Astyanax mexicanus: one gene and its partner. The protein of the gene in region 1 interacts with the protein of each later gene in a pairwise test. Links are inferred from orthologs where the notes say so. Each region holds a gene or a part of one and is shown on either strand. Other genes may lie near its edges.

What was found.
Region 2: the proteins of fam189a2 (region 1) and NEDD4-like E3 ubiquitin-protein ligase WWP1 interact in binary tests that used the Homo sapiens proteins (3 or more experiments, as listed by UniProt). The link is inferred for Astyanax mexicanus from reciprocal best matches to the Homo sapiens genes ENTREP1 and WWP1.

What each region holds. Positions count from the first base shown.
Region 1 is NC_064429.1:24,065,888-24,069,640, forward strand, and holds the start of fam189a2 (protein FAM189A2), read left to right. Parts: upstream 1-1,102; 5' UTR 1,103-1,383; coding exon 1,384-1,692; intron 1,693-3,753. UniProt on the Homo sapiens protein: Functions as an activator of the E3 ubiquitin protein ligase ITCH in the ubiquitination of the CXCL12-activated CXCR4 receptor. Thereby, triggers CXCR4 endocytosis and desensitization, negatively regulating the CXCL12/CXCR4 signaling pathway.
Region 2 is NC_064413.1:45,898,503-45,902,255, reverse strand, and holds the start of NEDD4-like E3 ubiquitin-protein ligase WWP1, read left to right. Parts: upstream 1-1,225; 5' UTR 1,226-1,273; intron 1,274-3,753. UniProt on the Homo sapiens protein: E3 ubiquitin-protein ligase which accepts ubiquitin from an E2 ubiquitin-conjugating enzyme in the form of a thioester and then directly transfers the ubiquitin to targeted substrates.

The DNA of each region.
Region 1 (3,753 bases):
TTACAGGAAATTACTTTTAAGGGCATTTTTAAGTAGCTTTTAATGGCTATTTGATGATTCGATGATCTAGAAGCTTTTAAATAAGCGGCATGGTAAGACACCTTTAAGTATGTAGCATATGTTTAAAAGCTTTTAAATCTGTGGCATGATTTAGAAGCTTTTAACCTTCAGCATGATTTTAGAAGCTTTCACGTCTGTGTGGTGCTGGGACAAGGCAGTGTGAAGGAGAAGGAGCTTTGCTTTTTTTATTGGTTTGATTTATTAAAATCTGTTTGTGGTCATCTTATTTTAAGAAATGATTGATTTATTATAATGCACTCTAAGATGAGAGCATGACTGCTGTTTGGTTTAAATAAAAAAGAATCAGCAAAATCATCTTTCTTCACTCCCACTCTCTCCCTTTCTTTTTTCTTTCTCTCTTGTTCTCCCTCTTTTTCTTTCTCTCTCTTGTTCTCTATCTCTCTCTGTCACAGTCACTTGTTCTCTATCTTCTTTTTTCTAACTCTTGTTCTTTCCCTTTAGTCCTGTTCTTTCTCTTTTTCTACTGTTTTTCTCATTTCCTTTTTTTCTCCCTCTTGTTTTCACACACTCTTGTTCTCTCATTCTCTTTTTCTTGTTCTCTTGCTTTCTTTCTCTTTCTCCCTCACACACTCTTGTACTCTCTTGTTCTTTCTCTTTTGCTCTCACACACACACTCTCTTTTTTCTTTTTTCTCTTTTTCTCTCTCCTTTTCTCTTGTTCTCTTTGTCACACACTCTTTCTCTTGTTCTTTCTTTTTTTCTCCTGTTCTCTTTTCCTTTTGTTCTCTTGCTTTCTTTCTCTTTCTCCCATTCACACTCTTGTTCTCTCTTGTTCTTTCTCTCTTTCTTTCTCTTGTTCTTTTTTTCTCTGTCATACACATCTCTCTTTTTCTCCTTTAATCTTTTTTCTTGTTATCTCGCTTTCTGTCTCTCTTATTCTTTCTCTTTTTCTCTTTTGTTATCTCTCCAATTCTCTCTCCTTTTCTCTTGTTCTCTCGCTTTCTTTCTTTTTCTCCCTATATTTCTCTCACACACTCTTGTTCTCTCTCTCTCTCTCTCTCTCTCTCTCTCTCTCAGTGCAGGGTGGTCTATTCCCACACACTCCTCCTCCTCCTCCTCCTCCTCTTCTTCTCTTGTCTCTTTGCCAACTATGTGAAACGCAATCCGGGCGCCAGGAGTTATTTTAGACCCTCGTGTTCTCTGTTTCTTTCTCTCCACCTCGAGAGGATCATGGACGGAGCGCTGAGGGGATCCAGCAGCTCCTCCCGCCGGTTTCAGCTGAACCCATTCGGAGTAAAATGAGGGACCCGAGCCGCCTCCGCTCCCCGGTCACTGCTGCTCCTCTCCTGGCCGCTCTTCTCCAATGTCTCTGCCGGTAGTCCTGCCCGGTTCCTGCTGTCGCTTAGCCCGGGCTTCTCTAGCCCCTCACTTCGGAGAGCCCTCGCCGTCTTCCAGAGGCCGCAGCCGCTGCTGCTCGGCCGCCGCTCGGTGGCGAATGTCCGGCTCCCAGGCGCGGCTCTCCCCCGCGCTGCTGCCCGCTCGACCGCTGCTCTCGCTCGGGCTGCTGCAGCTGGTCCTCGGCTGCTCCATGGTAGCGCTGTCCTTTGGGGCTCTGTCCCTCAGTAACTCGCCTCCCATCCGGAATTCGTGCCCGTTTTGGGCAGGATCTTCAGTGAGTACCTCAGTGTCTGAGATTTAGCTTCATTTTTAGTTATTAAATACGTGTCCTGCAGTGTTTGCTTTGTGTTCCGTCGTGTTTATAAAAAATGTAAACAAGCTGCTTCCTATAAGATTTTCAGTCTGTCATGTTTACATTATATAGGTTTACCTGCATGTTCCAGTTTTCTTTGGTTGTTTTTGAGTATGATTTATAGTAGTGGTAGTGTAAAGCTGTTGTTGTGAACACCACAGGTAAGCTTTAGCTTATACTTGATTAGCTAATTAATTAGTGTTTGATTGAGTTAATAGGATTTCCCTGCTGAAAAATCCACCCCAATACCAGCTTTTGCTAGTAGCTGGTTTTGATGGTCTTTCAGGGGCAATGTGCTTGAATAGCTGGTTACCAAATAAAAAAAATGATGGATTTGGTATACTGCTTCAAAGCCACATTATGTTTATGTGAACTTCAATTTTGGTCACAGATAGAAAAGTTATAACCCAGCTTGTTGACTAACTACTCCCAGTATTGTCTATGTTGCTTTTGAGTTTGGTCATGTTAGTCCAGCTTGGTCTTGTTGGTCAGGTTGGTCCTTCTTATAGAACCAGATAAACCATCAAACCCAAACAAAAAAAGTGTACTGAAGACCTAATCTGACAAACCATTTTACCCCCAGCAAGGATATAATGAACAGTATATGACCACAATTCTGTTACCTGCAATTACTTTCAGTGACCTCAAGCTTTGGCCATATTTATCTCAAATACAAACACTGAGATGAGCGGATGACCTGTGATGTGTTTATAATGTGGTGATACAGTAGCGAGTCAGTGTTTATAGTTTTTGGTGTGTTGTAGTATTGTTTCCTTAAGTACTGACATATTTAGACAAACACCTTCTCATTTGATGTTTTTTCCTTTTATTTTCTACATTGCAGTTCATATTGAAAACGATGAAACTACTTAATAAATAATATTTTTTCATAGAAACAGTGTTAAACCAGAATATTTTTTTATTCGATTCTTCACATCAGTCCTGATTTGCTTTAATGACAGCTTTAAACAGTCTGGGTCATTTTTTTCTCTTGTTCAGCTTCATAAGTCACTGTGAATATTTTTCTAACAATCTTGAAGTGGTTACCTGAAGTGTGTAAAGTCCATATGTATTTCTTCATAGTATATTTCTTCAATATTAACCAAATATTAATCTGCACAAAAAACAATGAGAAGGTGTGTCCAAACTTTTGGCCCATGTATTGCTAAAGATTTCTCTTATACAAACACACTGGCCTGTAGTGTACAATTTCTCTCATCTCGGATGAGGTTGATCAGATGTGTTTGGTGTCTAAAATTGTTTTTTTTTGCTAAAGCTTTGAAACTATACTAAACTACTAACTATAGTAAAAATGTATAATAGCTATATTTTACAAAAGTAATACTTATCATAAGTTCAAGTCCAAACTAACGAAGCAAACTTCAGGTACCAAACATGTCTTGGCCAATCAATTACGCTCAACTATGTAGCTATGTATCGATTAGCTATTACATAAGAACCACTGACAGCCGCAGCAAAAAAATATATTGATTATCTTGGTCTTCAGTGGGATTTAACATATTATGCAGCAAGTGAACAGTCATTTTTGAAGGTGATGTTAAAAACACAAAACATGGACAAAAATCAGGATTTGACCCGCTTTGACAATAGCGTAACTATGACGGCTAGACAACTATGGGCTTAGAGCATCTCTTAAACATCAGGTGGTTGTGGGTTTTTTTCTGCAATGTGGTCCAAAAAAGGACAACCTGTGAACTGGCAACAGGTTAAGGGGCACCTTAAGGGGCAGCTCATTGATGCAATCTGTTCAGGCCCAAACTCACAACATACAGAGCTTAATGGATCTGCTGCTGGTAACATGTTGGTGCCAGATACCACATGATGCCTTCAGAGCTAATGTGCAGTCAGTGCCTGACAGAATGGTCAGATCGGTTGTGGTGGCACAAGAGTGACCTACACAAAACTCAATATTAGTACGCAATTTGAACTCACCCCAAGTTGTTTTCTTCCACTCTTGTCATA
Region 2 (3,753 bases), on another chromosome or scaffold:
GTGGACTTGCTCTTGTGCTTCGGACCATTGTCCTGCTGCAGAACCCAAGTAGGGCTGAGAATTTTTGATCAGCAGAGGTTTTTGCCTTGGAACTCTCCCATGGATACCCAGTCTCTTTCTTTTTATTAGATCATTAACACTGCCTTTAACTGAGACAAGACCTTAACACTTTTAATTCTTTACACAATAATTCCTCATGTGATCCTGTATAGCTTTAATGTCTTCAATATTAAATTTACAATGTAAAAAAAAACACATTGGGCTCTATTGTACCTATCTGTATGCAGCTAAAGGCATGTACTAATTTTCTTAATTATTTATGGTTATGTTTTAAGCATAATGTAAAATAAACCAATCACTCTGTCTCTTGCCATTCCCTCTGACTTTGGCCGATGGCGTATCGCTTCTGTGCTTCTTTGCAGATGTGTGACCAGGTCATTTTTCAGGGACAGCAATGTTATTTTATTGTGTGTTTTGTTTATTGTTGATGTAAAAGTTGAGTCTGTGCTCTGTTGTGTGACTTGCGTGTGTGTGTAATGCATGCCGTTGAGCATGCACAGCACACCTGCATTGCCAAGATAGCAATGAGCATGTTGACTGTTGTCAGAGTTTAATCAGTAAGTGGCGCACCTATGTTTTTCACTGCCAAGATAGCAACATGACAGAAATTTACAGAAATGTGATATATTTGTAAACTCCGTCACTATTTAAACAGTACAGGGCTGTTGGCGTGGTGTATGATAGCACAAAACTCACCTTGCACAGGGTGTAAAATAGGACCCATTAAATGAGAAATGAGAAGAGGTGTGTCCAAACCACTGACTGGTACTGTAAGTAGGTAAGTAAGGTGGAGAACAAGATTTGCCCTTTGGACTTAGTTGAAGTAATAACTTCAATATTTTTGTTGAATGTTGAAGTTATAAGAGATACTAAGTTACATGGTTCTTTAAATTACGTCATTGGACGTGTGGAGGGGTTTCTCTGCGGTGTGTGAATCTGGATATCAGAGAGAGAGAAAGAGAGAGGGAGAGAGAGACAGACAGACACAGGGAGAGAGAGAGAGAGAGAGAGAGAGAGAGAGAGAGAGAGAGAGAGAGAGAGAGAGAGAGAGAGAGAGAGAGAGAGATGGTCAGACCAATGACTGTATAGCTCTGCCTGTCCAGCTTTGGAGAACAGACACACACACTGCTACAGAAGCAGTAGCAGAAACAGCTCAGCAGGAAAACACACTGACTGCGACCTCTCCGCTGAGAGGAGGAGGGCGACGGACTGTGTGAGTTTATATTTATTACACAGCTCTGATTTGTTTGTTTGCTTGTTTGGATGTTGTGTAGCTGCTGCTGATGTTGTTATTTGTATTGGAGGGGTTTTAACAGCTAACCCGGGATTGCCCTGGTAGTTATATGGTATTGTAGCTAGGTTAGCTAGCTAGCTAGCTTGTTATAAGCTGCGTTCACAGCTTCGGCAAGTATTTCTTCATGTTTATTTTATTAAGCTAACAAAGGTCAGCTGTTGTGGCTTACACACACACTTTAGTACACACTCTAACACACCTTCACACACACTCTCAGTGCAGTTTGAGTAAAAATGGCGGTCACTAGTGCAAGGCCCTGCCGATTTGTGCGAGGTTTATGTTGGTTTTTAGTGGAATTATCCGTTCCACCTTAAATGGTGTAGCAGTTGAATGCTGCAAATGCTGATCTGACAGAATGGAGCGGATGCACCGTTTTAAGGTGGAACGGATTCCGCTAAATCCGAGCAAATGAGCTAGGAAGCTAACCTAGGTTCAGTTTTAAAGGCTGTGACTTGTGACAGTAACATATTAAATGGTTTTGACAAACATCTGGATATAATTAAACAAAGCATGAGCAAAATTAGACAAAATAAAGCTAGGTTAGGTCATTAGATTAGCTAACTGTTAGCTAATAAACAAACATAGATAGCTAGCTAGCCAACTGTCTGTGCCTGCCTTTAGCCTAGCTTAGCTTAGCTTAGCTGATATGAAAAAGCTACGAAATAGCTAGCTAGCTAACTACTTAACTAAGCTAGATAAGTTAAATCGTCTCGGTTGTTTTGTGAGCATTGCCTAGTTGACAAACTAATTCTCCCCACATTAAGGTTAACTAGCTAACTTTGGGTTGGTGGGTGAAGTGACAGCTGTTTATTTAACGTTTGACTTTTTTAAGACGTTAGAGTACCCCTAACGATCTAGCTAGCAACGTTAGCATATCACAGGGCTACGCTAACTTAGCTTAGCTTGCTTAGCTAGTTACCGGTAATAAACAAAATTTGAGTTCACTGGCTGCTGAGGAAATGTATAACTTAACTGTTTTTTACAAGACAGTAAAAGGTTGGTGACCTTCTTGACACTTAATTTTAGAATTAATTAAACAGGTAATTTTAGCAAAGTTTATATTTTTTACAGTGCTAGTAACATGACTTGGACTTATGGACTTAGCTAATTATATATGTGAATTTTAGACTGTTTTTGAGTCTGTTGGATGTACACTTAAACTAAAGATCAGATCATAAGCAGAACATACAGCTAAATATAATGTCTAGTCTTAAATGGAGCCAAAATGTGGGGTAATAAGCTGACTTTTGCAGCAACTGGTGCATCCTGCTGCTGTATGTGTGTGTGTGTGTGTGTGTGTGTGTGTGTGCTTAGGCCAGCACTGAAGCGTAGGACTAGAGGTTAATCGAATACATTTTATTTACCAAATTATTGTTTTAATGCAATTGAATGGGATAATTGAGATTGTACATTTTTATATATAGAAGCTGGCAAAGAGATTTTTATAGATAGACACTTTCTTCTGAAGGCTTTTATGGAGCAGTGATTTCCATATTTTAAACTCCATTATGTGGTTTTGCTAAGTGTGTGACATGCGGTATAATGGCAAATGTTCATATCACTTCCATGTCCACAAGTGTATGAAACCAAGCACCTAGACATTAAGACTGAATCTATTAACATTAGTAAAAGAATGGGCAGCTTTCAGGAGCTCAGTGGATGCCAACATGGTATCGTGATAAAATGCCCCCTATGCAACAAGCCCAGTTAATTTTCTAATTACTAAATATTCCACAGTCAACTGTCAGTGATATAACAAAGTGGAAGCAACTAGGAATGACAGCAACTCTAACTGTAAAAGGCAATGTAAAAAATCAGAGCCGCAGCAAACACTGAGGTGCATGGTGCGCATTCAGTCTCTACAGACCTATAAAGACCTCTTATCAGTAAGAGTCCATGAGCTGCTTAGGGCCCCAGGATGCGATTCCAACCTATCTAACAACTTCACAACGCAAGAACTTGAACTGGTAATCCAATGCCTGAAGACTGGCAAGGCACCAGGCATAGACGGCATCCATTCTGAGTACATAAAACACCAAGGCAAGAAAGCAACTGACTGGCTCTGTTCCTTTCTCTCTGCATGCCTCCGGTACTTAAAGCTGCCCAAGATCTGGCGTTGTGCAAAGGTGATAGCCCTCCCGAAACCGAACAAGCCAAGCGATGACCCAAAGGGATACCGGCCCATCTCACTTCTGTGTGTTCCTTACAAGCTTCTTGAGCGTCTCGTCCTGGCACGCCTCACCCCAGTGATTGACCCCCAGTTGCCCAAAGAACAAGCTGGTTTCCGAAGTGGCAGATCAACAACAGATCAGGTGACCCTCCTGTGCCACGACATAGAGGAAAGCTTTCAGGCAGGTGAGAAAGCTGGTGCTGTTTTCCTGGACCTCACAGCTGCATAT